6 linked regions of the Canis lupus familiaris genome follow. The protein of the gene in region 1 interacts with the protein of each later gene in a biochemical or structural test. Links are inferred from orthologs where the notes say so. Each region holds a gene or a part of one and is shown in the gene's direction. Other genes may lie near its edges. The genes, in order: H1-5, CCNA1, CCNA2, CCNE1, PRKCA and G2/mitotic-specific cyclin-B1-like.

What was found.
Region 2: of the proteins of H1-5 (region 1) and CCNA1, one has a biochemical effect on the other in vitro, tested with the Homo sapiens proteins (2 studies listed by BioGRID). The link is inferred for Canis lupus familiaris from reciprocal best matches to the Homo sapiens genes H1-5 and CCNA1.
Region 3: of the proteins of H1-5 (region 1) and CCNA2, one has a biochemical effect on the other in vitro, tested with the Homo sapiens proteins (2 studies listed by BioGRID). The link is inferred for Canis lupus familiaris from reciprocal best matches to the Homo sapiens genes H1-5 and CCNA2.
Region 4: of the proteins of H1-5 (region 1) and CCNE1, one has a biochemical effect on the other in vitro, tested with the Homo sapiens proteins (4 studies listed by BioGRID). The link is inferred for Canis lupus familiaris from reciprocal best matches to the Homo sapiens genes H1-5 and CCNE1.
Region 5: of the proteins of H1-5 (region 1) and PRKCA, one has a biochemical effect on the other in vitro, tested with the Homo sapiens proteins (2 studies listed by BioGRID). The link is inferred for Canis lupus familiaris from reciprocal best matches to the Homo sapiens genes H1-5 and PRKCA.
Region 6: of the proteins of H1-5 (region 1) and G2/mitotic-specific cyclin-B1-like, one has a biochemical effect on the other in vitro, tested with the Homo sapiens proteins (2 studies listed by BioGRID). The link is inferred for Canis lupus familiaris from reciprocal best matches to the Homo sapiens genes H1-5 and CCNB1.

The regions. Positions count from the first base shown.
Region 1 is NC_049256.1:26,525,924-26,529,391, reverse strand, and holds H1-5 (histone H1.5), read left to right. Parts: upstream 1-1,339; 5' UTR 1,340-1,385; coding exon 1,386-2,066; 3' UTR 2,067-2,256; coding exon of another isoform or gene 2,257-2,697; 3' UTR 2,698-2,968; downstream 2,969-3,468. Other genes in the region: H2AC16 (histone H2A type 1-H-like), read right to left, coding at 2,257-2,697. UniProt on the Homo sapiens protein: Histone H1 protein binds to linker DNA between nucleosomes forming the macromolecular structure known as the chromatin fiber. Histones H1 are necessary for the condensation of nucleosome chains into higher-order structured fibers.
Region 2 is NC_049246.1:4,258,242-4,261,612, reverse strand, and holds part of CCNA1 (cyclin-A1), read left to right. Parts: intron 1-900; coding exon 901-1,147; intron 1,148-1,333; coding exon 1,334-1,458; intron 1,459-2,076; coding exon 2,077-2,318; intron 2,319-3,371. UniProt on the Homo sapiens protein: May be involved in the control of the cell cycle at the G1/S (start) and G2/M (mitosis) transitions. May primarily function in the control of the germline meiotic cell cycle and additionally in the control of mitotic cell cycle in some somatic cells.
Region 3 is NC_049240.1:19,143,381-19,147,439, forward strand, and holds the start of CCNA2 (cyclin-A2), read left to right. Parts: upstream 1-1,259; 5' UTR 1,260-1,544; coding exon 1,545-1,757; intron 1,758-2,533; coding exon 2,534-2,777; intron 2,778-4,059. UniProt on the Homo sapiens protein: Cyclin which controls both the G1/S and the G2/M transition phases of the cell cycle. Functions through the formation of specific serine/threonine protein kinase holoenzyme complexes with the cyclin-dependent protein kinases CDK1 or CDK2.
Region 4 is NC_049222.1:122,573,046-122,576,545, reverse strand, and holds part of CCNE1 (G1/S-specific cyclin-E1), read left to right. Parts: intron 1-2,824; coding exon 2,825-2,970; intron 2,971-3,089; coding exon 3,090-3,225; intron 3,226-3,500. UniProt on the Homo sapiens protein: Essential for the control of the cell cycle at the G1/S (start) transition.
Region 5 is NC_049230.1:12,890,634-12,894,801, forward strand, and holds the start of PRKCA (protein kinase C alpha type), read left to right. Parts: upstream 1-1,368; coding exon 1,369-1,541; intron 1,542-4,168. Other genes in the region: glycine-rich cell wall structural protein 1.0-like, read right to left, coding at 630-1,370. UniProt on the Homo sapiens protein: Calcium-activated, phospholipid- and diacylglycerol (DAG)-dependent serine/threonine-protein kinase that is involved in positive and negative regulation of cell proliferation, apoptosis, differentiation, migration and adhesion, tumorigenesis, cardiac hypertrophy, angiogenesis, platelet function and inflammation, by directly phosphorylating targets such as RAF1, BCL2, CSPG4, TNNT2/CTNT, or activating signaling cascade involving MAPK1/3 (ERK1/2) and RAP1GAP.
Region 6 is NC_049250.1:29,512,802-29,515,959, reverse strand, and holds G2/mitotic-specific cyclin-B1-like, read left to right. Parts: upstream 1-1,257; 5' UTR 1,258-1,352; coding exon 1,353-2,636; 3' UTR 2,637-2,658; downstream 2,659-3,158. UniProt on the Homo sapiens protein: Essential for the control of the cell cycle at the G2/M (mitosis) transition.

The DNA.
Region 1 (3,468 bases):
ACCCTCCATTCCAACCTCATGGTTATTTCTTCAGTTATCTTGGGTGTTGTATTCTTTTTTTTTTTTTTTTTTTAAGATTTTATTTATTCATGAGAGACACCTAGAGAGAGGCAAAATTAGGCAGAGGGAGAAGCAGGCTCCCTCTGGGGAGCCTGATGTAGGACTCAATCCCAGGATCACGTCATGAGCCAAAGGCAGATGCTCAACCACTGAGCCACCCAGCTTCCCGGATGTTGTATTCTTGACTACTTCTGAGTGTCTATAACTTGTATTCCTTCAATTGCCAATCCAGTCTTCTCATAGTCCGTAGCCACCTATTTCTCTTAAATAAGGTCTCTCCTAGCTCATAACACAATAATGCTCACATTACAGAAAGGTGTTTCTGACAGCGCACTTTATTACATATTGATGGAGATAAGGACTTTGAATTGGGAAGTATTGGGAAGAGTACCTTGGAAGTCTGACAGAGTCCCATGTCACCTACAGTCTGTGTTTTTGAGGACTCCTGAAGCCCTTGAATACTTCCAGCAGGTTTGAGGTTTTCCTCCAGCACTTTATCTGTGCTAAGCATCTTTCCCATTTATTATAATGGATTTGCCTAATACTAAAGGTAGAAAGCATCTCAATAAAAAACATATCAAATTTAAGTTTTAATTCAAATTCAGGTCATTGGATCCTCAAGCCAAAGCTATTCCTCCTCCTCCTCCTGCTGCAAGGTAGATATCATTCTGGCTACTAAACTTTCCCAAACAGCCAAAGACATTCTCTAAAGACATCGGGCGTGTGAAAACTCCCAGGAGGCAGAACTGGCTTTTGAAGGAGGATCTATGTGGTTAATTTGGGGCTGCAGGCAAGCTGCTGCCCTCCCTCTGTGTTACTAACTACAGTTTATTCCCAAACCGAGAACCTGTGTCTTTCCTCTTACAAAAATCAAAGTGCAGACCTAGGGACATTTTTTAACATGTCCACTTGATACTTAGTAGAACTTACTGCAACTTTGAACTAACTACCATAATGCCTTAAACCCAGTGGATTCCTATGAAAAACTGAAAAGATTTAAAAAGAAAAATCTTTCATCTGTTGTACATGATTCATGAAAACACGAATCCGCATGTGAACCTAGAGACTGTTTTCTTCCTTGAGAGCTTCAACACGTCAAATTCTGTATAATAATTTTCAGTATTTAATCAGATTTTGGGAGCTAACAAACACAATTTGGGAGTCCAACCGCGAAGGGCGGCTGCCTGAGGGCAGTGGATTGGACGCTCCACCAATCACAGAGCAGCACCGGCTTATATAAGCCCCTGGCCGGAGTCAGGCAGCATTGCAAGACCTGCTCTTTCGTTTTTCCGGTTCTCTTCCTGCAGCGGCTTCTGCTCTCGGCCATGTCGGAAACTGCTCCCGCTGAGACGGCTGTCCCGGCGCCGGTGGAGAAGTCACCTGCCAAAAAGAAGGCCACCAAGAAGGCAGCGGGCAGTGGCGCTGCGAAGCGCAAGGCGTCCGGGCCCCCGGTGTCCGAGCTCATCACCAAGGCGGTGGCCGCGTCCAAGGAGCGCAACGGTCTCTCCTTGGCCGCGCTCAAGAAGGCGCTGGCGGCCGCCGGCTACGACGTGGAGAAGAACAACAGCCGCATCAAGCTGGGCCTCAAGAGCCTGGTGAGCAAGGGGACCCTGGTGCAGACCAAGGGCACCGGCGCCTCGGGCTCCTTCAAGCTCAACAAGAAGGCGGCCTCCGGGGAGGCCAAGCCCAAGGCCAAGAAGGCGGGCGCGGCCAGAGCCAAGAAGCCCTCCGGGGCCACTCCTAAGAAACCCAAGAAAGCGGCGGGGGCGAAGAAAGCCGTGAAGAAGACCCCCAAGAAGGCCAAGAAGCCTGCAGCCGCCGGTGTCAAAAAAGTAGCAAAGAGCCCTAAGAAAGTTAAAACGTCTGCCAAGCCTAAGAAGGCGGCCAAGAGTCCTGCCAAGCCCAAGGCGGTGAAGCCCAAGGCCGCCAAGCCAAAGGCTGCGAAGCCAAAGGCCGCGAAGCCCAAACCTGCCAAGGCCAAGAAGGCGGCCCCGAAAAAGAAGTAGGAAGTTTTTGCCCCTTGAAAAAGCCGACAAAGCCCCAAAGGCTCTTTTCAGAGCCACCCAGGTTTTTTTAAAAACAGCTGTACACTTAGACACAAATCTTGGTAATGGTTATGTAGCTTAATATAAGGCATTTTGGAAAACCCTGCGCTGTGTGCGGTCGAACCAATTGGTTCGGTGCTACGGTTCGGTACTACAACTGTGGTCCCACCGTTTCCCAGGGAATATTTTGGTTTGGGAGTTTTTTACTATAGAAGTCTAATTCTTTTCCTCCTAGCCTTGGCAGCAGCACGGCCTGGATGTTGGGCAGGACGCCGCCCTGCGCGATGGTCACGCGGCCCAGCAGCTTGTTGAGCTCCTCGTCGTTGCGGATGGCCAGCTGCAGGTGGCGCGGGATGATGCGCGTCTTCTTGTTGTCGCGGGCCGCGTTGCCCGCCAGCTCCAGGATCTCGGCCGTCAGGTACTCCAGCACGGCCGCCAGGTACACCGGCGCGCCCGCCCCGACCCGCTCCGCGTAGTTGCCCTTGCGGAGCAGGCGGTGGACGCGGCCCACCGGGAACTGGAGCCCGGCGCGCGACGAGCGCGTCTTGGCCTTGGCGCGAGCCTTGCCGCCCTGCTTCCCGCGACCTGACATGATGACAGACAACAGTGACTTGGATCGGAACAGATGGAGACCAAGTTTCAGTATTTATTATAGTCCTTACTGGGCGCCAAAATGAAGCTGTCCTATTGGCTGAACTTCGACTTTCATTAGAACCAATGCAATTCTGGTTTTCAAATACCCTTATTTTGATTGGATAGCTACAGGATGCTATCCAGAATTTACCACAAATCACTAGAGTTTAATCTCCTTCGCGTGAGGCTGTGAGTAAAGACTGCACGTAGTAACTGTTATTCTTTCCCCTTTTGGCTTTTGTTGGAGGGGAGTGGAGGTGTTGGGGAGGGGAGGGTTAGTTATTTTCCACCATGTCAAAGCAGTCAAGTTTAAGAAGTACACCAGGTCCAAGTGAGCCCGCCAGCGGAAAAGGTATTCGTCAGACACCCAAAGGCTTTTTTTTTTTTTTAAGAGCCATCCACACTTTCCAAAGAAAACTAATACTGCCTTTACCCTGACTTAGAGTTAGGCAAAAGCACATTTTCATCTGAAGGCTTTTGTACACACTCTAATTTTGCACAGAGTTACATTTTGGCCTTGTATGTTTTCAATAGGATCTAGCCTTTTTTTTTTTTTTTTTTTTAAGTTACAAACATCAAGCACTCCAAATTAATTTTATTGTGCATATTTCATTTAACATCCAAATTCTAAGAGTCATCCATGGAGTTAATTACTGAGAAAACTGCAAATTTAAGGTGAAAATGAAAAATAACCCTGAACTTGCAGTGAAAATCTTATTGTCAGAGCTTC
Region 2 (3,371 bases), on another chromosome or scaffold:
GAAGATTTGTTGAGCGAATACTCTCTTGTCTTTAATTCTTCTCTTATTCTCTTTTGACTCCTTTTTTTTGTCCATTCCTTACTTGACTAATCCAGCAGCCTTTGACACATTTGATTATTCTTTATTCCTTGAAATCCTTTCTTCTCGCTCGGCCTGGAGAACCATACTCTCTTGGTTTTCCACCTTGCTCATTGGCCACTCTTCCTCAATATCTAAAAGAGTGCTCCAGGACTTGGTATTTGATCTGAATATGCACTCACTCCCTTTCAAACTTTCAAGCCTCTTAGCATTAAATACCATCTACCTGTGCTCATACTTTTATCTCTGATAGATTTCCTCAAGGGACATTATGTCATACAAGAGATTCTATGGCTTTGTAAGAGAAGTTAATGGTAGGAGTTTCTAAAACAATCATGTTTCTAAATATCTGAGTATAAAATGGAAACTTTATAGGCACTTACTTACTGAAAGCTGTTTAAGGAGGAAGACTGTAGGAACTCAGTGACTATATATCAAGAGGTACTTATAAAATCCTATAGGCTAGAAGTATGAAAGCCAATTAACAATCTCCCTCTACCCACTCACCCATGCAATACCTATCCTCATTTTGGAGGATAGCTATGGTTTCTTTTTTTTTCTATAATCTTGAGTTTCCTTTGATAGATATATGAGGAAGATGACAAATTATAGGTAGCTCTTTTCCCAAATGTTAGATGTAGATAAAGATAAGGGAGAAGTCATATTTCAGAAGCTTCATTTTCTGAAATTAAATTGCAGACCTAGATATTTCAATTTAAGCCTGTTCGCATCTTTCTGGCTTGCTGGCTTGGGTCACACAAGCTCATATCACCTATACTATCTTCAGGGTGGCCTCTCACAAAAAACTTAATCCTCTTCCAGGGGATCACAACAATCCGGTGCTTCTCTGGATCAGAAAATGTCGTCCCTCCAGCTGGAAAGAAAGTGTTCTCTGACTGCAGGGTCCAGGTGCCAGCCAAACAAGGATTTCATATCTACATGGATGAGGCTGAGCAAGGAGACAGAGACAGCTGCACTGGGAGAGAGGGGATGGCATTTGAGGATGTGTGTGGGGTAGACACCAGCACACTCAAGTCAGACCTTCACTTCCTGCTGGATTTCAACACAGGTAATCCGACTCACCTATGGCTGGTGGTACTCTGTACTCATAATCGCCTGCAGCATTCAATAGCATGTAACTAGCAGGAGAAAACCATGAAGTAATGCCTTATTTTCACAATTGCCTGTGGAGGGTTAGTGAATGCAATGAATTTTTAAACTGAATGTCTTACCTGATAATGTTGAACCCCTGCAGTTTCCCCTATGCTGGTAGATTCATCTCTCCATTCCCAGTCTGAAGATGCATCAGATTTTGGTACAGATGTGATAAATGTGACTGAATATGCTGAAGAAATTCATCAGTACCTTAGAGAAGCTGAAGTGAGTTTTCCCAAATTCTATTTCAATTTCTAGCACTCAAAACACTTAATAACAAGATAGCTATAAACTTCTGGCCAAATCCACTAGTGAATAGCATTCTTATGGCATCCAAATGTAGGAATATCTATGAAAAAGAATAGGTGTGGGGTGCCTGGGTGGCTCAGTCAGTTGAGCATCCAAATCTTGATTTCGGCTCAGGTCATGATCTCAGGGCCTTGGGATGGAGCCCTGTGTTGGGCTCCTCAGTCAGTGGGGAGTCTGGTGGAGATTCTCTCTTTCTCCCTCCCTGCCCCCCAAGTAAATAAATCTTAAAAAATAGTAATAGTTGTGAGGCAAGTAGCAATTACTTGGACTATTTCTCCACAACTCAAAGGGTTTATGTATTCAGTATTTCACTCTTAGGAATAACCCATATTGCTATTCCCTGCCCCTCCTCCTTTAAGTTATTTGTTGTTACCTAATTGCCTTACAGAACCAGAATTTCATACGTTCTTCCACATAGTAAAGATGTGTTTGGCTCTTGATCAGTTTCTTCCTAACCTTTGCTCAGAGATTATTTGTTAAATAGCCACTGTACCATGGAGCGATCTTTCTGATATACAACTATTTAAGTATTAGAACTCTTTTCCCAAACAGATAAGACACAGGCCCAAAGCACACTACATGAGAAAGCAACCAGACATCACAGAAAGCATGCGAACAATTCTGGTGGACTGGCTGGTTGAGGTCGGCGAAGAGTATAAGCTTCGAGCAGAGACTCTGTACCTGGCTGTCAACTTCCTGGATAGGTTTCTTTCTTGCATGTCTGTTCTGAGAGGGAAATTGCAGCTTGTAGGAACAGCAGCTATTCTTCTGGCTTCGTAAGTATTCTTTCAGCTTAAATAATGTAAAACTGCAGCCTGTCAAAACACTTGATTTTCTTTCCCATTTGTTGAAGAAATGCTCAATAATTAAGGCTTACTCATGCCTCCCTTGATAAAGTATCATTTTTGCAGTATTTACTGAGAAACTGAATCTTAACATGCAATCTTAACACGTGTTCACTCTTCAATTCCGATGTTTAAGATTTATAGCAACAAGTTCAATATCATGAACAGATAACCATCAGCTCAAATTCAAGATCCAGTTTAACTATTTTGCAGTGTGGTCTTTTGACTGCATTCTAATACAAAAAGATTGTGGTTATAGAAAATATTTTGATTATACAAAAGCCATCGTCACGATCTAGCAAATGACCTGTAGTAACACAGTTTATTTGGTTCCAGTGAATAAACTATCACTGTGTACAAAAAGAGCTGGCTTCTGCCTGAACTGCCTTAAATTCAGTGACCTGTTGGTAGATGGCAGTGTCTTCAATTCTTCTGGTCTTGGACATTCTACTTATTAATGCCCAGAAACTTGCCAAAATTCCCCCATAGAAAGCAGAAACTAAAGCAAAAGAGTTGATAATAATGAAATTCTATCATTATCTTACTCTTGGATACATAGCATCATTTGCTAATCCAATTGAGAAAAATTCTGAACATGATCTTTTTATTTTTATTATTTATTTATTTTGAACATGATCTTTTTAAAGATCTACAATCTAAGGAGCTTTTATTCTACGCTTGTGTTCAATATAACATTCTTTTCCACAAGATGAGTGAGGTTTATAGAATTAAGAGCAATTTATCTGTATGTCTGTCATTCAGAATCTTTCAGCATATCAGAGGCCACAACCTAAAATTCTCAGTTGGAAATTGTCTCTGTTACTACTCCTAGCAGTAAGTACAACATATCCTTGCAATACTCATGCTCTTGTTCTGGCATCAAGATCTGAATATTTTCAAGGTCGGTACCATTTAGTAATATTTAAGTGGATATGTGGATACAGAGGAAAGAAGTCTTCAAGGGCCATGCAAAAGGCATGGTTG
Region 3 (4,059 bases), on another chromosome or scaffold:
CTCTTGCTAGGTAATGTTTTGTGACCCGTGCTCAGTTTGTGAGCTTGAGTATGCTCAGTGCTATAAATTTTGGCCAGGGAAATGAGCAGAGCTGCACAGATTGAAGGGATCTTCACTTGCTGTCCTATAACCAGTAGAACTGTACAAGGCTACTACATGTGAATAGTGCAGAAATAGTGATGGCCTCTTAGATTTTCCTGCACTAGTGTCCACTGACTTGTTTTATCATGTAGAGAGGGAAATAAGACTTTAAAGCTACAGAAGTTTTATTCACTAATGTTAATTCATGTTTCTTCATACTCAGGAGAATATTGTGTTTGAAGATTGTTTTAAAATGGCGTAAAGATTATATAATCATGTTTTTAAGAAGGGCATCCTCATGAATTTGTCAGAAAACAAGGTCTCTTAATTCTTTACCATTATATTAATATATGCAAGCCTTGTTTATTAAATCTGAGAACTTGTTAAAGGCACATATCACTGAGAGTTTTATTTTAAAAGGTCATGTTGTTTTTATTTAAACAGCCTTCATTGCCAAATGGAACAAAATTCTGTATCTATGTCACTAGAAATTTCACTGGGTGCTTTTTGTTGGCTGGCACAGCTGGGAAAAGCATCAAAATTAGTGACTGTCTAGTTGAGTTTCTTCCAGTACATTACTATTTGTTTATATATATGTATCAACAGTAGTTAAGGTAGCACCTACCTAATCACATCTTCATGAGGTGAATTCGGAAGCATGACTGAAGAAACCCCTAAATGATACATGACAGTACAGTCCACACTCGAGGATCAGTAAGCAAGCATGTTAATGATTTACGCACATTACATAATCACAACAGCCATACGACATGTAGCATTTTACCCCCAATTAATAGATGAGAACACTGAGAATCAGAGACGTGTCATCACGGGGCCCGCCTACCAGGCCGGTTCGCGGCTGGGTCGGATCCGAGCTTGGGAGACCAGTCAGTCCAGCCAACTGAGGGCCCCACGGCCAGCGTTAGGCAGGCGCGGCCACTAACAATTGCTGGGGTTTGACTCCGTCGGTCCTAGAGACAGCCGCGGCCCAGCACCCTCGGGTCACCAAGTGGCCCAGTTTAGTCACTAGAAGTTCAGGCCCCGCCTCTTTGGCCGGCGCAGGCGTTTTCCCTCCCGCCGCCTTTCGGCGTTTCTCCGCCCCCGCTCCGTGGCCTTCACGGCTTCCTTCATTTGTCTGCGACCGTGTCGCCTTGAGTGACGTCAGGGGCATCGGCCCTTCCCATTGGCCCATTTCAATAGTCGCGGGATACTTGAACTGCACGAACAGCCGCCGCTCCGGCGGGCTGCTCGCTACATCTCGGGGGCGTCTTGAGCCCTCCACGCCCGGCAGTTCCTGCCTGAGCCTTTCGCAACGTCCTCGGAGCTGCGCGATCCCGAGCGAGCAGGCTGGCCCGGACTGCCGCGGGCGGCTGCGGCTGGAGCGTTTCTCGGCGGGGTCGGCGGGACGCAGTACACGCTGCTTGGCGCCGCAGGCTGATCCCGCCGCGACCCGGGGAGCAGTGATGTTGGGCAGCTCGGAGCCTGGGCCTGAGGCCCGCGAGGCGGGCTCGTCGCTGCTAACGTTGCAGCATACGGCGCTCCAAGAGGACCAGGAGAACATCAACCCCGAGAAGGCGGCGCCCGCCCAGCAGCCCCGGACCCGGGCCGGGTTGGCGGTCCTGAAGGCCGGGAACCAGCGCGTCCCAGCGCCGCAGCAGAGGCCCAAGACACGGCGGGTAAAGAGATGAACGATATCTGCAGGCGAGGAGGGCCGAGCGGGAGTTTTGCACGAGGTTTGAGCAGGCCGGGGAGCGTGGCGAGAAAGCATCTTCCGAGCTGTTGTAAGGGAGGCCTGGGTCTGCAGTCCCCTTGATGCCTAGTGTTCTGGCGCGGGGGATGCCACGTAAATCTTTCCCATAGCTCTCTTCGCCAGCGCTGTGTGTTTTGCTCCCTGTCTGCTCTTTATTTGGTATATTTTCCGATAGAATATGAGGGTCAGACCGAGCACCACGACGTATGTCCGCGCTTTCTTCGCCGCTTTAAACCCCAGGCACTGCCCTAGGATCTGGACCCCCTTCCTGCTCGCCATTTGGTTAAGATTACCTTTACTTTAGGAAAGAGTATAAAAAATAATTTTTTTTTACTAAATTCCGCCATTTTACCGGATTTGCTCTGTTGCTCCACCCTGGGGCCAAAGCGGTGAACCAACACCTCTTTGCCGGCTCTCCTAAACTTGTCATCATTCAGCCTGCTACCCCACTCCTCTTGTGGCCTTGATTAGTTTTGCATAAATGCATTTAGTGTGATTCTATAACTTATGTAGAAATGCCGCTAACGAACTTGAACATCCCTTTCTTCAGCTATTCAAACTTTACTGCCTGGATTTTGTCCCAGATAGTTTAATTTCCTTAGAGTATTTGGGAGTGAAAACAGAAACTGAGAACCGTAAGGGGAAGAAAGCAAGCAGAACTCCATTTAATAGGCTCAAAGCTAGCTATTCATTTCTTTTTAGGTTGCACCTCTTAAGGATCTTCCTATAAATGATGAACAAGTCACTATTCCTCCCTGGAAAGCAAACAGTAAACAGCCTGCATTTACCATTCATGTGGATGAAACAGAAGAAGAGACTCAGAAGAGGCCAGCTGAATCTAAAAAAACAGAACATGAAAATGTCCTGGCTTTTAATTCAGCTATTACTCTACCTGGACCAAGAAAACCGCTGGTACCTCTTGATTATCCAATGGATGGTAGTTTTGGTAAGTTTTAAAGAACATCTGTATCAAATCAATGTAATCCTAAAGTGATTATGGATTAATGATAGTTTCATTTTAAGACATTATTTTACCTGACCCTTACTATATAATGAATTTGGTGTAATGTAACAAAGTTTAGAAAGGGTATGATTCATCTCCGATCTCACAGCTCATACATTGACCTAGTGACCTATAAATCCTAACTGGGTGCTCCTTCCTTCCCATATTACTGCCAATCACATCAATTTAATTAGATCTCAAACCCTTATTTTAATCTGACCCTGGAAATATTTGCCTGCTTGGGAGAATAGATTTGAACCGTATTCATAAACTCACTGTGTACATACCACTTACGAGAGTATTTGAATAGGATACAGCTTTCAATATTGTGATATCTAACATCTCTTACAGCTTAAAATTTTCTGTAAATCCAGTCTGATACCAGAGAGGGACACTGTCCTCCTGTGAGGCAAGAGTTGAATCATGACTGCAGCTAACCACATATAAAATGAAGTAGCTGCTATAAAGCAAGCTCTGCCAACAGTTTATGCGTGCAACTTCTTTACCATACATAGATAGGTCTGTTGAGTCACTGGATAATTCATTCGTTTCATCTCATTTAGGTTTTAGTTCTGAGAAGTGGTCTGGGAATAGCAGGAAAATCCTTTGGAAATAAAGTAATTTTTGTATTTTTCTTGAAAATTTATAACAAACTTTAACCTTACAATGAAACTTGAAAAGAGTAATGAATGATATTCTTTGCCTCAAAAAGTAATTTAAAATTACAAAACATGAAACATTTGGTGATTATAGTGTTAATTTGTTTGAATTGCTCATAACAAACCTAATTTTAATTAACATTAACCCTGCTTTTAGTTATTGCTACATTGTTCTTTGAATATGTCAGACTTTGGGGTCAGCACTCTTAAGGTAAATACTACATAATACCACAAAACTTGGATTTTAACTGTCTTTGCAGAATCACTGTGCCATTTGCTCTTCTCTCATGGAATATGATTGATACTTAAACATAATAATACATTTTCAAGCACACTCTTTTAGTGGCCTAGCAGTATTTTCTCTTGTTGATTAAAACCAAGTGGACTGGGGATCCCTGGGTGGCTCAGCGGTTTAGCGCCAGCCTTGGGCCCAGGGTGTGATCCTGGAGTCCCGGGATCGAGTCGCGCGTCAGGCTCCCTGCATGGAGCCTGCTTCTTCCTCTGCCTGTGTCTCTGCCTCTCTCTGTCTCTCATGAATAAATACATACTTAAAAAAAAAGTGGACT
Region 4 (3,500 bases), on another chromosome or scaffold:
CCAACTAGGTTAGCAGTGGGCAGCACGTCGCTGTGTTGGGCACTGAGCAACAGCTGTGGCAGCTGGTTCTGGCAGAGTGAAGGGCTTTGAAGCAGTGGGTGTGCAGGAATAGTTGTCGTCCCTGCACGTAGACCCTAGAAATTAGCAATTCTGGGGAGATCGACCTAATATCGAACAAGGGGTTGATGATTTCTTTCTCATTAGATGAAGAAATACTTTCCTTTAGGGAAGGAAATAAGACATTCCTTTCTTTTCTTTTCTTCTCCTTGAAAAAACAAAAAGCAAACAAACTTTAAGCAGGTTGATTTTTATGAGCCGTGGTAAAATGGCTCTCCACTTTGTGAAACTCGGGATTGCTTATTTTCCCAGCTGTTTTGGGAATTGAAATTTCTGAGAGTGAAGCGAAGGCATCCATATCCACTTGTTGGAGTAGTTTGTTCTCGAGGAGGACCGGAGCAGTGCTAGGGTGCCTAAAATCGGGCTGTGGGCCTGTCCCCAAAGTGTGCACATTGATAGCCGTGGTATTTAAATACTCCTATCATTTCCCACTAACGAGAAGGAATTTTCCTGGTTGTTCAGAGATTAAGGACAACAGGTTTCTGTACGTTTTGTAGAGCAGATAGCTTGAAGATTGCCCATCTATCTATGGAGCACTCGTTCTGGTTTTCCCCTGTGTAGATTCATGAAGCTAGAAGTTTGGGGTAACACAATTATCACACGGAATTTTTGTCAGGAGTTCTAGTTCAGCCCAGTACAGTGGCCTGGAGCTACTTGTGGCGCATTGTGCTAAACTCCTTATAACTCCTTCCTCAGGACACAGAGAACCTTTGAGTGTTACCTTAGGCCTTTCCTAATCAAAAGACTACCCTTTTATCTGAAATCCATTCAGCATATCCGTTTTGTTGTTTAACTTTTTGCAGGAGACCCACCTTTTTAATTGAAGTGAAATCCTGGACTTTGTAGTAGTTACTTCTCAGCACCTGATTCTACATAGGTAGTTCTGTTCTTAGTTAAAAGTGGCATGAGGGGTCGGGGGTGTTTAGAAATAGTCAAAATTGGTGTCTTGCTCTTATCCCGGTCCTTCCTAAAGTCAGATGGATCTGGCCTCTTTGAAACCCAGCGTACACTCGAGACTTCGACTTCATTATTGTGCCTCACGTGCTGGATCCTAAAGGGTCCAGGTTTCCGAACCACTTGTGGCTTGTGGGTCATCCAGTCTGTCTATGCACTGTGGTTTAGGAACTGCTGCCATTTTATCCTCAAAGGCTGCTCTCAGCCCTTTCAGCCATCTGGCTGTAGAGGGTGGCACCCAGCTTCTGCCTTCACAGCTAGAATTCATTCTCGAATGAAGAGCAGCTTGAAGCAGTTGTAATGTGACTCGTTTTGAGTCAAGGAAATGCTACCAGCACATGAGACTAGAGCTGGAAGGGGAGGTTGCCCTTCTGGAACAGCTGTTGGCAGGAGTTGTCATGGTTAATTTGCATGCCCAATTCTTTGCACCCTGGGTGGAGAAGAGCTTTATCCTGCTTTGCTCTCCTCAGCACACTGAAAGTGCTCTGGCCGCCTCTGAAAGTGGCCGGTGTGCTGTGCGCGCCCCACTACCGTATCCTCCAGGCAGCACCTGGAGCCCACATCCCATGCTCATTTCTAATTGTCCCATTTCTTCTCTGGTCAGCCTTAATGAACTGTCTGCTTTAAAACAAAAGGCCAAGAGTCTCAGACTTCCACAGGACTTCCGTGCTGGCGGGATTGTTACTTGCCGCACTGTCCACAAAACCACTCTTACGACTCAAAAAAAAAAAAAAAAAAAAAAAAAAACAGAGCAGCTTGACAAAGAAAACTTTGTAAATGGCAAAAGGACCTTCTTATTTTCCAAATACTGAAAATCGAATAAAATTAAGTACCTAGAATCTTTGAAAGGAAAGCATATTGTTTGCGTTTTTAATGATGGTTTATTCCCTTATCAGTTCTTGGATCCTCATTCCATGCAAGACTTTGGGGGCAGGATTCAAAGGTCTTCAGGGGTATCTGGCTTCTATCTCCACGGACTTCTTAGTATATCCTGTGACCATTCCTGGATTTGGTTTTAACTAGGCAGATATTCTTTTTGTTTTGTTTTGAGTTAAGGAAAACAAAAGGTCCTCGTTATGTAATATATTAGGTAGTCTTGCAACCAGGAGATGTCACATTTGATGGTTTTACGTCTTAAGATGGGGACACTAAATACAGATGGTAATTTACATTTTTGGTCTTTACGCTTGTGAATGTGCGGTGCGCATGTAAATATACTTTTATTGGAATTCTTTCACTTTTAAGAAGTTTTGGTAGATTAGTTGTACCTGTTAAAAAAAAACAAATCTTTGAGTTGTGACCAAATAATCCCACAGCATACCTCAGAGGTTATGCCCAGTTTCTTACCGAGCTGCAGGTGGATTTGTATAGGTGGTGGTGGTGTCGGTTTTTGTACTCCTAAGAGCTGTTTGCATTTTGTCTTAATCCCTCCTGGGTCCATCTTCCTGCTCAGGTACTGGTTTGACGGCGACAGTGTGGAGGATAAAATGCTACTGACTTTGTAGTCGTCTTAGATACTTACTGCATAGACTCCTAAGCCAGTGGCAAGTGAAACGAAAGCTTGGAGTCCTTACTGTGGCTTTTACTTACTCGTTCCATCTTCATCCTCATTTAGGCCAGAATAGGTATTTAGGCCTGGAGATTGCTCTCTAGTGTGAAGATATTTTCTGTTTTACTGGCTGTTCTACAAATCATGAATGTACACATAGCTGGTTCCTATCAAACATTTAAGAATGTGTGTTTTCTTCTACAGCCTTGGGACAATAATCCCGCATGTGAAAACCCCTGCTCCTTGATTCCCACACCTGACAAAGAAGAGGATGAGCCAGCATACCCAAGTTCCGTGTGTGGACCGCAGAGCTTCATGCCCTCCAGAGCCTCGCCGCTGCCTCTACTGAAGTAAGTTGCCTGCCACGTGCCTTCCAGGTCTTTTGCTCCTTGTGCACAATCTCACCAAGTCAGTGTGGACGCATACTGACGCCTACTTCTTGTCTTTCGCTTGGTTTTGTTTCTTGTAGCTGGGCAAATAGAGACGAGGTCTGGAAAATTATGCTAAATAAGGAAAAGACATACTTACGGGATAAGCACTTTATGCAGCGGCACCCCCTCCTGCAGCCCAAGATGCGAGCAATTCTTCTGGATTGGTTGATGGAGGTGAGCTTGAGTCTTCCTGTCGACTGGAAGCATTGACCACTTCTAGAACCTTTGACGACCTCTTTGTGTGTCTTATACCCCATTGACACTTTTCTGTGTCTCCAAAGTACCACTCTTTTGCTTGGGTTCTTCCGTAGAAGAATTTCTGAAGTCTCTTTACCTCTTAGATATTTTGAGGTTGGCATTTAATTTTTTTTCTTCCAAGTTCAAATAATTACAAAAGTTCTCTTTTCCACTGAACTGTAAATATTGATATTTGGTCTTTAATTAAATTG
Region 5 (4,168 bases), on another chromosome or scaffold:
CTTGGTAATTTACAAGTGTTCTGGCTGCACTCTGCACCTGCCAGTATCGCAGTAATTAGTTTAGGCTGCAAAATGATTTCTAAATTAAGGTTCCGGACTTGTAAAATCAAGAAAGGCTGATAATCACCGTTGTAACTGTGGTAGCCAACGAGTAACGGGATGGAAGGCTCGGACAAGTCCGTCCAACCATCCCACGTGCCCCTCAGAGGTCTCTGCGAGGTGCAGGTGGAGAACAGCTCCACAGTTAGAGGCACGTGGTAGAGACCGTGTGCGATGGTTTACAAACACGCTCTTGCTCCTGTTATACATAAGCAGTATTTTTTTGGGGGGGTGGGGTGTGTGTGTGCGCGCGCGCATAGGGCTTGGGCATCGCGCCCAGGAGCGCCCACGGGTCCTGCAAGGTGGGGAAGGGCGAGCGTCCGAGCAGGTGGGACGGAGGGCGGCGCGGGGAGTCGGACTTCTCGCTCGGGGCGAGGGGGGCCGGGAGCCAGGAGGGGAAGGGACGAGCTGGGAGGGAGCCGGGGAGCGCAGCGGACAGAGCCGGAGGAGCGGAAGAAGGGGCGGAGGGAAGGCGAGGGGAAAGAGGCGGCGGAGAGCGGCCCGCCCCTCCCGGCGTCCTCCTCCGCTCCCTAACTCGGGCGGGCCCGGGCCGGCCGCCGCGCCCCCTCCCGGGGCTGCGAGCAGACGGCGGAGGCGCCCGCGCGCTCCCGGCCCCCCCGCGCGCTCCCTCCGCGCTCCCCCCGCGCGCGCTCCCTCCGCGCTCCCGCCCTCCCCCGCGCGCTCCCGGACCCTCCGCGCGCGCTCCCGCCCCCCCGCGCGCTCCCGGACCCTCCGCGCGCGCTCCCTCCGCGCTCCCGCCCTCCCCCGCGCGCTCCCTCCGCGCTCCCGCCCTCCCCCGCGCGCTCCCTCCGCGCTCCCGCCCTCCCCCCGCGCGCGCTCCCTCCGCGCTCCCGCCCTCCCCCCGCGCGCGCTCCCTCCGCGCTCCCGCCCTCCCCCGCGCGCGCTCCCTCCGCTCTCCCGCCCTCCCCCGCGCGCTCCCGGCCCCCCCGCGCGCGCTCCCGCCCTCCCCCGCGCGCTCCGGCGTTCCGGGCATGCGCGGTGGGCGGCGCCGCTCCGGGCCGCCCCTGCCGCCGAGAGTAGGAAGCGCGAGCGCCGGGCGCCCGGCTGTCAGTGCGCGTGGGGCCAGCCCGCCAGCCCGCCAGCCCGCGAGCGGCTCCGGCTCCGGCTCCGGCTCCCGCGCCCGCTCCGGCCCGACTCTCCGCGGCCGCCGCCGCTGCCGCCGCCGCCCAGCCCGGGGTCGCCCGCCGCCCCGCCCCGCCCCCGCCCGCCCCCGCTCCCCGGCCGAGGCAAGAGGTGGTTGGGGGGACCATGGCTGACGTTTTCCCGGCCAACGACTCCACGGCGTCTCAGGACGTGGCCAACCGCTTCGCCCGCAAAGGGGCGCTGAGGCAGAAGAACGTGCACGAGGTGAAGGACCACAAATTCATCGCCCGCTTCTTCAAGCAGCCCACCTTCTGCAGCCACTGCACCGACTTCATCTGGTAGGTGCGCGCCGTGCCGGGGACCCTCGCTCGGGGCGCGCCCACTCGGGGAACTTGGGGAGCCGGCCGAGTCCCAACCCGCGCCGGGGACACTCGCGGGCGGGACTCCCGGGGGGGTGGCCGCCGGGTCACACCCCCCCCCCCACCCCACCCCGGGTCTCCCGGGCGCTCCCGCCGCTCGCTGGCTGTGAGCAAAGGGGAGAGCGAACGGGAGAAGCCAAGGGCAGAGTTTCCCGGAGGAACCGGGGAGCGGCGGCGGCTGCGCTGCGCGGTCCGAGCTGCTGGCGAGCCGGTCCGGGCGCTTGCGGGCGCGCGTGTTTCCCCGCGGGCCTGGGCTCCCCTGGACCCCTGGGTCCTTGCCTACCGTGGCTTGTACCTGCTGGGCACCGGGGGGACTGGACTTTGGAGGGTGAGCCCGGGGAGAGGCAGCAGCAAACTGTTGCGAGCTTGCGGAGGGGGAGGGGGAGGGGGAGGTAAAACCGGGCAGGCAAAGGGCTGAAGGGCAGAGGGACTCATTTAAAATAGACCCTGTCAACACGAGATTAGACCCGCAGCCCGGGGGATGAGGACAGAGGCCCTAGTTAAGGAAACCACCGTTAAGGTGTCCGAGTCCGGGCGCGGAGTTTCCAGGGAACGCCGGTGTTGGCTGGTGGGCGCAGGGGTTTGGAGGAGACGGAGAAAAGGGACGCGCCCCCCCCCCCCCGGGTGGGGGGGTCTCTGAGCCCTGTGATGCTGGGCGGAGCTGTGTATATACCTCTTTCTGGTGAGAGTTTATGGCTTTTACGGACTCTCAAAACCTTGACAACCCTCCCTCCCTCCAAGACACCGCCCCCCCCCCCAAAGTTTAGGAGGCCGAAGTTGAGGGAACCCCAGGTGCTCCGGTTTGGGCAGTGAGCAAATCCCCCCCCCCCGCCCCCCAGGATGGTAGGAATCCAGCCTTTTTCTATCTCCTGTTCAGGAATGTAGGTAGAAAGCGCCCCAAGTCGGAGCTATTGCAAGGGTTCCTGAACTCCTGTCTCTCCAAGTCGGGGTTGCACTGGGGTGGCAGTAAGTCTCCGTGTGGCACGTATCTTGTTGGAGCCCTAGGCAGCACTTAGAGATGGCTGTGTGAATCCATCACACCTGGGGGGAGAGCAGCTTGAAGGGTGGATTCCACAAACGTGGTGCTAATAAGACACTTTTTCCTCAACGGATGGCGTCTGAATTCATCATCCTGGGATGGGGGTGGGGGTAGGGGGAAGAATCAGGAGTCCTGCAGTTGTGCTGATAAGGTGCTTAACTCTTCTTTTATGGATGGCATTATCCGAACCTATCACGGCTGGAGGAAATCCCCTCTACAGGCCCTACAGATGTGCTACTAAGATACTTTTCCTTTATGGATGGCTATCTGAATCCATCACACCTGGGGGAAAGCATCTCTAAGGGAGAGTTCCTACACATAGCAGTGCTAATAAGGGGCTTTTCCCTTTTCTTAGAAATCTCAAAAGTACTTTTAGGAAAAGCACAGCCACCTCTATGAATGATTTCTACTATGTACTCAGCGTATGAAGCAGTTGTGCTCTAAGGAGCGAGTAACTGTAGATACGGCTATCTAAAAAGTACTTAGAGCGTCAGAGCGGGAGGTTACTGCATCTAGTCAAGGAGAGTTCTTCAGGCTCTCCTGCCAATTTGAGGGATCCCATAAAAGCACTGAGACTGCTGACTACTTCTGAGGGAAGTAGGTGAATTAGGAAAGGGACTTGCGGCATACATACCCAGGCAAGCTGATGTCTTTCCACTGTCTGTTGCCCTAAAGGATTAGCCCCTGGTGAACTGCTGTGGCCCTTGAGGTCACCAGGTGTAATGTGAAGCGGAAAATAAGGTCTCCCTGTCCGCTTCCTCCCTGAGTAATTCCTGTAACACTTCTCCACCTAACCTAGAAACTACTTGGAAGCTCCAAGAAAATATTCACTAGGGTTATCTAGCCAGTGGTATTAACTTCAGTTGTTTTTCATTGTTTCTACAGGGCCTTAATCTAGGAGTTTGTTTTAAATATTAAGAGCTGATACTTTAAATGTCTGGGAGATGACTAAGTTACATATAAAGATCTATGAAGTGCTTTGTCAACTTAAAATGCTGTGTAAAGCAGGAGATTATGACTAAGACTTTTAATGCAGTTCATCCTAGTTGAAGCAGTGTTTACAATGTAATGTCCGTGGTAGGACTCTCTGCTCAGAGTAAATCTGCCAAAGTAATTTACAAGAACAAAATAGCCTCTGTATTTGCTTGGAATACTACTGATGCTCTAAAAAATTAGATCATAACTTCCAATGCAACAACAACAACAAAATATTTTGTGAAATCTGGCTCCTTTTTGAACCAGAACTTAATGTGGAGTGGTACATTGTGGCAGTTTCTAGACACCTATTTTAAGTACATACATAACAAATGAAGATGCTTTTTAGTTGTGTTTAGGGGAGAAAAAGGATTTTCCACTTTCTTTAGGGATAAAATTAAAGCACTTCAATCATAGTCTTCATTTGTTGACCACTATAGTTCAACTCTGAATATCGTAGTCCTGCTCTTGTCTGGAAATTTAAGTATGGTTCACAAAGTGTAAATTGGAAAGAACCTTAAAATGTTGAAAT
Region 6 (3,158 bases), on another chromosome or scaffold:
TCCTTATTTTTCCCCTTATGTACAATTTAAAACCCTGGACACTATGTATACAACAAACATCTGAAGACTCTAAAATGTGGAGAGAGGGCATATCAGTAGAAACACAGAGACTCAAGGAATGAAAGGGTGGTGAGTTTCCTAGGCTTTCTTTTTGCCTCAAATATTCCAGATTTGAAACTGAATAACTGGTAACCCAAAAAGACCAATACACACAAACAAAGCTCAAACAAAAGTCATACACCCATGGAAATTTGAGAGGAGAAAATATACTTGGAAATGAGAAGGGCAGCAGAAGCCAAAGAGAAGGATTTCGGTATTGAGTGTGTGTATTTCCTTTCTCTCCTCTTCATTCCAGCTCACTGCATTCCTCCTCCTATAGTATACATTTAGATTCCAGATCTCCCTGCTGCATCTGCATGCCAATACTTACACCATCACCACCTCGCTTGACTCCACCACTACCAGATAGGCCCCAATGTCAGAGGAAATACAGAGGCCAGGAATGAAGAAAAGGAGAAGTGGCAGGAAAATGCAAGGGCAGACAGTAAGATACTGAATTAACCTCTTAGCTTTCAAGAAGTTTTCAAAGTACCAATGAAGAAGGGAAAAGAGAGGGGTACCTAGGTGGCTCAGTGGTTGAGCATCTGCCTTGGGCTCAGGGCATGATCCCAGGGTCCTGGGATGGAGTCCCACATCAGATTCCCCACATTGAGCCTGCTTCTCCCTCTGCCTATGTCTCTGCTTCTCTCTCTGTGTCTCTCATGAGAAAATAAATAAAATCTTTAATTTAAAAAAAAAAAAAAGAAGGGAAAAAAGAGAGGAGAGACCTACAATGGTGTGGCTCTTCATACCCAAGTATACACTGAGTATTTATTAGGAGTTGCAAATTTACTACCACATTCAATTAAATGGAGAAGGTTTTATGAAAGACGTGAAAGAAGAAAGAAAGAAAGAAAGAAAGAAAGAAAGAAAGAAAGAAAGAAAGAAAGAAAGACAGACATGAAAATGTGGGAATTAACTGAAAGAAGAATTTGGTGAATTGCCAAGTTAAAGGAAATTTAGGAAACACTGCAAAGATGTCAATATATCAATTAAACCAAAAAGAAAACTGAGTATTCTCAATTATTAATACATGATTACAACCAATATTATACAAATATATTTAAATATACAATGAAATATAAGCTATATTATAATTACACATCAAGAAAAAACTAATTAGAGGTGCTGCGGAGGAACGGCTGTTGACCCGCGGGCCTCGGCTCCCGGCTCCCGGCTCCCGGCTCCCGGCTCCCGGCTCCCGGCTCGTCAGCGGCTCCCGCGCTCTCCTCTCCCCCCGTGAAGACGCGGCCATGGCGCTCCGGGTCACCAGGAACACAAAAGTGAATGTTGAAAACAAGGCGAAGATCGGTATGGCAGGGGCAAAGCAGGTGCCTCTGGCCTCTGCTGCAGCCTCCAAGCCCGGCCTGAGGCCAAGAACTGCTCTGGGAGACATTGGTAACAAAGTCAGTGAACAACCACAGGCCAAACTGCCTCTGAAAAAGGAAGCAAAAACTGCAGTTCCTGGAAAAGTCATTGCTAAAAAAATACCAAAGCCTCTGGAGAAGGCACCTGAGCCTGTCCCTGTCCCTGTGCCAGAACCAGAGCTGGAACCTGAGCCGGTTAAAGAAGAAAAACTTTCACCCGAGCCTATTTTGGTTGATACTCCCTCTCCAAGCCCGATGGAAACATCTGGATGTGCTCCTGCAGAAGAATATCTGTGTCAGGCTTTCTCTGATGTAATTCTTGCAGTGAATGATGTAGATGCAGAAGATGGAGCTGATCCAAACCTTTGTAGTGAATACGTGAAAGATATTTATGCTTATCTGAGACAACTTGAGGAAGAACAAGCAGTCAAACCAAAATACCTACTGGGTCGTGAAGTCACTGGAAACATGAGAGCCATCCTAATTGACTGGCTAGTACAGGTTCAAAAAAAATTCAGGTTACTGCAGGAGACCATGTACATGACTGTTTCCATTATTGATCGGTTCATGCAGAATAACTGTGTGCCCAAGAAGATGCTGCAGCTGGTTGGTGTCACTGCCATGTTTATTGCAAGCAAATATGAGGAAATGTACCCTCCAGAAATTGGTGACTTTGCCTTTGTGACTGACAATACTTACACTAAACACCAAATCAGACAGATGGAAATGAAGATTCTAAGATCCTTAAATTTTGGTCTGGGCTGCCCTCTACCCCTGCATTTCCTTCGGAGAGTGTCTAAGATTGGAGAGGTTGATGTTGAGCAACATACTTTGGCCAAATACCTGATGGAGCTATCTATGTTGGACTGCGATATGGTACACTTTCCTCCTTCTCAGATTGCAGCAGGAGCTTTTTGCTTAGCGCTGAAAATTCTCGATAATGGTGAATGGACACCAACTCTACAGCATTTTCTGTCCTACACTGAAGAATCCCTTCTAAATGTTATGCAACACCTGGCTAAGAATATAGTCATGGTGAATCGTGGGCTTACAAAGCACATGACTATCAAGAACAAGTATGCCGCCTCTAAGCATGCTAAGATCAGCACTCTGGCACAGCTAAATTCTGCACTAGTTCAAGATTTAGCCAAGGCTGTGGCAAAGGTGTAACTTGAAACATGCATTGGAGTATTGTAATATCTGCAAATAAAATTGGCACCATGTGCCATCTGTATATATTATATGTTACCTTTACTTACTTTTAATAAAGCTTGTGGTCCTTTTTAACTTCTTAAAAAAAAAAGAAAAAACTAATTAGATATATTTTCTAAGTTTTCATTTTTTTAATTTAAAAAAATTTTTTTTAATTAATTAATTTGTTGTTTAAGTAATCTCCATATCCAACATAGGACCTGAACTTACGGCTCCAAGATCACAAGTCGGATGTTCTATCAACTAAGCCAGCCTGGAACCCCTAAGTTTTCATTTTTAAGGTACAAATTAGTGTAACCGAAACTGCGTGTACTAGGAGACAACTAAAACCTTGAAATGAACATTTAAAATATACAGTCATTAGTGTATGCAATATCTTTTGCATATTTTAATCTAAGCTTTTCAAATTCTCAATACCTTTTGATAATATTGGCTAATGTTAAAGTCAAACTATATATCTCAGAAACCATATTCTAGAAT